2 linked regions of the Macaca fascicularis genome follow. The protein of the gene in region 1 purifies or fractionates together with the protein of each later gene. This does not show direct contact. Links are inferred from orthologs where the notes say so. Each region holds a gene or a part of one and is shown in the gene's direction. Other genes may lie near its edges.

Region 1 (3,815 bases):
TTCTCAACATTAGAAACACATCTTCCACCATCAAGTTGTTTCTTCAATCATATTTATCTTGGGTGAAGCAAAAAGAAATAACAAACGGAAAATGTAAAAAAATCCCTGTTTTTTAAGAGGAACTGACAACACCTCAACCTTCTTTTCCAACGTTAGTCATGTTGAAACAGATATAAATTACTGTCATTTTAGCAAAAAAGATTTAGGAGCGGTACTTCACCATCAGTAAGAGCTATGGAAAGGTAAGTTAAGAACGCAACAGAAGTCCCACCTGTCGCCCTTTCATGTAGGTCGTTCTGACTGGTTTACTCAGGAATAACTCCAGCATTCTTGTCTTAGGCCCAGGAGGTAACCCAGGTACACTGTAACAGGAGTATGTGTGTCTTGCTTTGAGGAAACCCACTATATGAAAAAGCCAAGCTTGACTGGAAAGATAAATTGATGAGTCATTTTTCAATAATCTTGCCATAAAATTTGCCTTTTTTACTTCAAAAAGATTTTTACTTTAAAAAAGCCTTGTCTTTGGGCAGAATCCCTTTAACTAGCTAAACCTTTTCTTTTCTCCCGTTGTGGATTGAAAGTATGATTGAATTGGATAAAAATTGGGGTTTTCTCATATTCTTTCAGTGTATCCACATTGCGAACCTGATCTGGAAAGGCTCTTTTTAATATGCTGTGTTTTCATGCCAGAGCCTTCTAGTGCACACAGACCACACACTCTTCTAAAACTACAAAGTCCCAAAAACCATCTGAAGGAATTTGTTCAACATTGCTGATTCTGCTTCAGTAATATGGTGGAGACATCCAAGCTGTAGATTTTTATTAAATAAAATCTTTTCTTGTCTAACAGATTATTATTATTATTATTATTATTATTATTATGATTTTGTCCATCTGCCTGTTATCTTGGTGTTGTTTCTGAGCAGTGACTCTGGATGTATTGATGTTAAAGAGTGTGTTCTGGATTTCTTCTCCTAGATTGGTCGCTTGGTTATTGGACAGAATGGAATCCTCTCCACCCCTGCTGTATCCTGCATCATTAGAAAAATCAAAGCCATTGGTGGGATCATTCTGACAGCCAGCCACAACCCAGGGGGCCCCAATGGAGATTTTGGAATCAAATTCAATATTTCTAATGGAGGTGAGTTTGCTGTCATTTTGAGGACAGGTAAGTTTATCTTCAGTAGGATAAACCAATAGCTGGAGCCTGGGGAGACCAGGGTTTTGGTTCTGATCCTTTGTAGGGGGCAGGGGGGTGCTCTTTGCTTCATTTCAGTGACAGTGAAATGCTTCTCATTTGACTGTACCTGAATATGAAGAGCCATGTACAACTCATCCCTAACATGATATTTTCTTTTAGAAAAATCCTGCCACCTTGCTGGCTGAATGATGAAATGGTAGATGTGCTAGTGAAGAGGAACTGATGAGCTTTGGATTCTTTGTATTTCCATGTGAGCTGCATGAAGTGACCCACTGTTTGCGGTTTGATTTCCAGGTCCTGCTCCAGAAGCAATAACTGATAAAATTTTCCAAATCAGCAAGACAATTGAAGAATATGCAATTTGCCCTGACCTGAAAGTAGACCTTGGTGTTCTCGGAAAGCAGCAGTTTGACTTGGAAAATAAGTTCAAACCCTTCACAGGCATGTTTACTTTCCTCCTCTTTCTGCCCACTCCTATTTCCACGTTGAGCGATTTTTCTTTCAACGTTTTAGTACAGGGTCTTCAGCTTTGGAAAGACTTCCTTGAGTGGTCTGTGAGCTTTGCAAGTGTTAGTTAATTAACGAGTCTGGAATTAGGTTTGGGAGTCCAGAGACCTGGGCTCCCTGGGCCCTGCCAGGGATCAGCTGCATGACATCGGGTAAGTCATTTCCAACACTCTAGGCATTAGTTTTCATGCCTTGACTAGAAGACCTGTAAGATTACATTCATAGTTAACTTTTCATTGACTTCTTGCTACATACCAGGGTCTTTACACACATTAATCCATTTTATTCTCACAGTAGATCTGTCAGGGCAGCACTGTCAGCATTCATTATTACAGATGAGGAAACAAAGGCTGAGAGAGGTTAAGTAACAGGCTCAAGGTCATGGTCAATGAATGGCAAAACCAGGACTTCAACTCAGGTTTGAATGATTCGCAACCCTACATTTTCCATTTTAGTTGTCCTCATTCAGTAAAATAAATCAGACCATTTTGGGGGGACCAAATTGCAACTCTCTACATAGGCAGCTGTGGCTAACATTTTGTTGTTGAATGCCAGGTATTATAATAATTGACAGAATAAACGTTTATAAAAGTATTCAGATTAATAAAATGAGGATGAGACGATTGGCAATGGACTTGCATTTTGACTTTGCCCTAACGTGTATTCTTTCTTCTGAATTGCAACTTTATGGAATGCATTTTATTAGTCAGTTAGTTCCTGGCCAAAGGATGGATTGCATTTTTTGTTTCAACCTACTCATGGAAAGCTGACAATTGCATACTAACAAAGATAAAGTGCCACTTTGATGCATCTCGAAGACATTCTTGAGGTTCAGAAGATACCACTAGAGAGTTTCTTAAAATCTTCATATTTTGAAAATGTTCAGAACCCCTGAATATCCAACAGTTTTGAAAATGTTCAGAAGCCCTGAATATTCAACAAGAACAACAATACTAAGTTCTTATATTTGCTTTATTCCTTAAGCAGTACATGTGAAAAGTGATTCATTAAAAAATTTCTTTTTCCACTTAGTACCATTAAGTCTTGATGACAATGGACTTGGAAAAAGAAAAGGAACTAAAAGTAGGCATTATATTTTCTGCTCTCTGTAACACCAAAACACACCTCTCAAAATGATGAATGGGGAAGCACTGTGGTGGCCTAGCAGAATTTATACAACCTCTGTTGAAAATCCCCTGTGTGCCTCATCCAAGCTGTGTGGGCAAGTTTCTTAACGCTTCACACATTGAGTTTCCTCACCTATCAAATAGGACTAATAACATTTACCTCTCAGGAAAATTGTTAGTGTTGGATAACTATTGGTAGTATTGGATAGTATTTAACAGTCATATTATTTGAGCTGTTCAATAATTGTCCCTTTAAAATAGCAATAGCAGGTTTACAGCCATATAATCACATCAGAATATAATCTTTCTAAATGTGGTTAGTCCTTCCATCTTTTAATGTTGCTTGTTCTCACAGTGGAAATTGTGGATTCGGTGGAAGCATATGCTACAATGCTGAGAAACATCTTTGATTTCAGTGCACTGAAAGAACTACTTTCTGGGCCAAACCGACTGAAGATCCGTATTGATGCTATGCATGGAGGTAAACAGTCATTTCTTTTCAATTCCCATCTCTCAAGGATAGGAAGTCGCTCTCTTCTGTGTGTATCATGATGCTTTCACAAGCCTTTTCTCAAGTCTCTCTGATGGTTTTTAAATAGAGTTATTTTGCAACCAGAGCAATATCCACACAGATCAAAATCTAATTGTATGTAGCAAAAATAGTAGAGACACTCCTCGTGGTAAGCTCGTGTGAAGGTCAGCGTTTCCACATTAAGCATCAGGTTCTGAGTAACATGCAACTGCTGTTGTGGACTCTCCCTCCCCCTCAGAAGATACCTTACATTCTTGCTGCACGCCCCCATGTATTTCTGAGAGGACGGTCATTTGGGAGATGTGGTAAACATACTCCTGAGCCCCACATCCCCACTCACCTGCCCCCACATGCTCCTTTTCTTAGAAGAGGGCAAGAGCAAGCTGAGGATTAAATTCAGGAACATCAGGATGTGTACAGCTCTGTCTTCTTCCTCTGGGGGTTGTGT
Region 2 (3,815 bases), on another chromosome or scaffold:
CAGAAGCGCTTGGGCCTAGCCAAGCAGCTAGCTATCGGGATTCTCTGTCATCCTGCCTGGTGCAGGGGTGCGGGTGAGGGTGGAGAGTGTGGAGAAACTGTCTAACCAGCAAACAGCCCTGCCTCTCACTAGAGAGTTGCTTGGAGGAACCCAACAGCTTTGGGGCACGTTCTGAGCCTGAAAATCCAACTGCACAAATCTGCCTCAGCAGCAGCGTACATGAAAAGTGTCGGTCTGGGGTGAGCTGGCAGTTTGGCAGTGCCACCAAAAGTCAAATGGAGTCTGAGACGGCATTCACAGAAGCAGAGGGTCCAGGATGAAGGAGGGGACTGCTTGACCAGGCGTCTCCTTTGTGAAAACTCTCTCCAGTTCTCAGAGGTTAGGAAAAACCTGAGTGGCTTTCCAGATGGCTTGGACCATGTGAGGACAGCATCAGCCAGTGACAGCCTCAGGGGAGCTGAGGTGCTGTCTCCAGATCCCTGGGGCAGTGCGGGCTGGCCGGGGGCTGGTTACGGCGGGGCAGCCAGCCCCCCACCCACTTTGGGGGAGACAGGAGCAGGCAGCTCTGGGGCTGTGCTGATGAAAGGGTCTGCCCTGAGGGCCGCTGTCCCGGAGCTGCTGGGTGGCGCCCCTGCCCTCTGCGGGACTGGGAACGAGACGCGGACTCTCCTTGCTCTAGGCCAGGCCATTGCTCGGCGTCTGAAACCATTTGGTGTCCAGAGATTTCTATACACAGGGCGCCAGCCCAGGCCTGAGGAAGCAGCGGAATTCCAGGCAGAGTTTGGTAAGTGAAGCTTGATTTCCACAGGAGCCTATCTGTGCCCAGTTGAGAGGCAGTATTTTCTCTCAATGGTGGCATTTTCAGGCAGAGGGCAGGAGCTCCAGTCATGTCCAGGGGCTGCTGTGTCTGGTAGATGTTTAATCTCCCTGCCCCTGGACACAGGCCCACTCAAGGGGCACAGGGACTTACCCAGGTCCTCTCCGTGCCAGCAGAGCAGTCCAGGGCTCCCGTCTTTCAGCGTCCTGTGTTGCCATCCCCGTTGTGGGCGGAGCAGCGGGGATGGTGATGGGTGTGAGGAAGGGCTGGGCACTTGCACTCGCTTTTCCTTCATCAACTGGCAAGCACTGCCCTAGCCTCTGTGCGCTTTAGTCCAGGCGGATCCAGCCCCTGGCGGGTCCACAGCCTGGTGAGCAGAAGGCAGGCTGGATCTCAAGCATTCCCCACGCCCCTGGACACTTTGGGCCCTGAAGGTGATTAAAGCCAGAGTGGTCCAGGTCCCACTGTGTGTGATTTGACTTTGTACACTCATGAGAGTTGTCCAGGTAGAGACTCGGCCTTCAGGAAGCATCTTGGGAGTCTCTGTTATGGGAGTCGGGAGCAAGGGGCTGGTTTCCCACCATCTGGTTGTCCCTAGCCTGAGACTCAGTGCCTGATGGAGTCCTGCCCTCCCTCAGTGTCTACCCCTGAGCTGGCTGCCCAGTCTGATTTCATCGTTGTGGCCTGCTCCTTAACGCCTGCAACCAAGGGACTCTGCAACAAGGACTTCTTCCAGAAGATGAAGGAAACAGCTGTGTTCGTCAACATCAGCAGGTATCCTAGGGCCACCTTACCCAGCAAGCCTGGAGAGGAGCCGTCCCCACTGCTGCCATCTGGAGATTTTCTTCCCCGTGGGTTGTTGATAAGACCCCAGGCTGAGCTTGCTGGTTTCCATAAACCAACCAACCCACTCAGAAATTCGTGGGAATACACGAGAGCTCCACACAGGGAAGAAGAGCCGTCGGAGTGGGCCTAGCCTGCCTGCTTCTCAGCAGTGGCCCCTGCCTGGCAGGGCCTGGCACACAGCAAGGTGGCTTCAGGGAGTGTTCCCAGGGAGCCTTGGCAGGCCCATTGTCCTCAACCACAAAGGGCTGGACTTCAGGATCTGAAGGGCCCTCTGGAGGCCGCCTCCCACACTGCTGAGCCTGGCTTTGGCTGGCTGTGGTTCAGTGATATTTTGAATCTTACCCCCCTGGGCAGACAGACCCTAAAACTCACGTGGTTGTAGTTCCTCACACTGTCCTGAGGGCTGCCGTCAGGCCATTGAGCATGTATGGGGGTCAGACCTTCCTTCTCTGCCACTCCAAGGCCTTCCTAGCTGGTCCCCCTTGAGCCTGTTTACGTAAGTTTAGGGGAAGGGGGATTGGGTGAGGTCACCCTGAGGACTTATCCACCCCAAAGGTACCTGTAATTACCAATGTTTAGCCACAAAACAGGTAACCTGGGAATGGAAGAGTGAAACATGCAGGACCACAGGACTCGCACTGCTGGCTGGCACCAGTCATAGCTGCCATGTACCGGGTGCCTGCGTGTACCCAGGACAGCCCAGGACCCTGTATTACTTAGTGCACAATATACAGTCTCTAGAAGATCAGTTCTTGACTTCAGTGGCCGCTGCCTTTGATGGATGTGGTTAGGGGTGTGCTCATTCCTCTGCTCTGGTTTAGGCAGGTGCCTGATAGCACACTGTGGTGCTTCTCAGTGGGGGTCTGGGGGGCCAACCGGATCAGAAACACTTGGATGGGGCCTAACAGATGCCCTTCTGGGCCCTGTTCATGCAGTAGAGCATGTAAGAAAGCTTTAATCCTCCCAACATGCCTGGGAGTTAGGTGGTATTCTCCTTATGTCACAGAGCAGATAATTTGAGACACAGATAATTCGAGGCACGGAGAATTTGAGAAACTTGCCCAAGGTCACACAGCTAGGAGGAGGCAGGCTGGAGTTCTCTGAGTATATGAGACTGATAGACATACTGTAAGTATACCTAAGACTTAGTGCTTTAAAAGTCAGTGCCAAGTGTCAGGTGAGTGGAAAAATTCATTCTGTAGGTGGTTCTGCCTCAAAGGTGGCCTGGGTGGAGGGATCTTCATGGTACCCACGTCACCACTGTCATTCCCAGGGGCGACGTTGTAAACCAGGACGACCTGTACCAGGCCTTGGCCAGTGGTCAGATCGCAGCTGCTGGACTGGATGTGACGACCCCAGAACCACTGCCTACAAACCACCCTCTCCTGACCCTGAAGAACTGTGGTAAGAACTGCATTTTCTGACGCAAACTTCCTGCTGCCCTGCAGGACCAGTGTTTTCGAGGGGGTCCTGAGGGGCCGGGTGTGGAGCTAGTGTGAGCAAGTGCTGAACCCAAAGGGACACACCAGGGACTTTAAATGTTTACACTGTTAGTGACATGGGTGTATGACAGGAGCAGTCCTCTTGAGCATGTTCTGCTGGGTCTCTGTCCCTAAAGGAACAGAGTGTAGGTGTGAGAGGATTTGTTTTAGGGAAAAAAAAAAAAAAGAGTGGGCCGGGTGTGGTGGCTCACACCTGTAATCCCAGCACTTTGGGAGGCTGAAGTGGGCGGATCATGAGGTCAGGAGTTCGAGACCAGCCTGGCCAATATAGTGAAACCCCATCTCTACTAAAAATACAAAAATTAGCCGGGTATGGTAGTGTGTGCCTGTAGTCCCAGCTGTTTGGGAGGCTGAAGCAGAAGAATCGCTTGAACCTGGGAGGTGGAGGTTGCAGTGAGCCGAGATTGTGCCACTGCACTCCAGCCTGGGCAACAGAGTGAGACTCCATTTCAAAAACAACAACAAAGTGGGCTGACTACATGTCTACATGTGTTATACCACAGTGACTCGTGTAAAACCTGTTACTCTAAATTGCTATTACCAGTTTAGGTGTGAAAAATTAAAAGTGTAATGACAATGCCAATATTTATAACTCGGCCAGTTTTTCAAGCTGTTGTTTCACAACAAAGCCCCCTTCTCTCTTCTGCTTT

Evidence for each region.
Region 2: the proteins of PGM1 (region 1) and GRHPR fractionate together in Homo sapiens (co-fractionation; 3 studies listed by BioGRID). This does not show direct contact. The link is inferred for Macaca fascicularis from reciprocal best matches to the Homo sapiens genes PGM1 and GRHPR.

What each region holds. Positions count from the first base shown.
Region 1 is NC_088375.1:171,094,553-171,098,367, reverse strand, and holds part of PGM1 (phosphoglucomutase-1), read left to right. Parts: intron 1-978; coding exon 979-1,141; intron 1,142-1,495; coding exon 1,496-1,642; intron 1,643-3,190; coding exon 3,191-3,316; intron 3,317-3,707; exon of another isoform or gene 3,708-3,815. UniProt on the Homo sapiens protein: Catalyzes the reversible isomerization of alpha-D-glucose 1-phosphate to alpha-D-glucose 6-phosphate. The mechanism proceeds via the intermediate compound alpha-D-glucose 1,6-bisphosphate.
Region 2 is NC_088389.1:61,901,887-61,905,701, reverse strand, and holds part of GRHPR (glyoxylate reductase/hydroxypyruvate reductase), read left to right. Parts: exon of another isoform or gene 1-378; intron 379-679; coding exon 680-784; intron 785-1,455; coding exon 1,456-1,591; intron 1,592-2,669; exon of another isoform or gene 2,670-2,936; coding exon 2,937-3,067; intron 3,068-3,815. UniProt on the Homo sapiens protein: Enzyme with hydroxy-pyruvate reductase, glyoxylate reductase and D-glycerate dehydrogenase enzymatic activities. Reduces hydroxypyruvate to D-glycerate, glyoxylate to glycolate, oxidizes D-glycerate to hydroxypyruvate.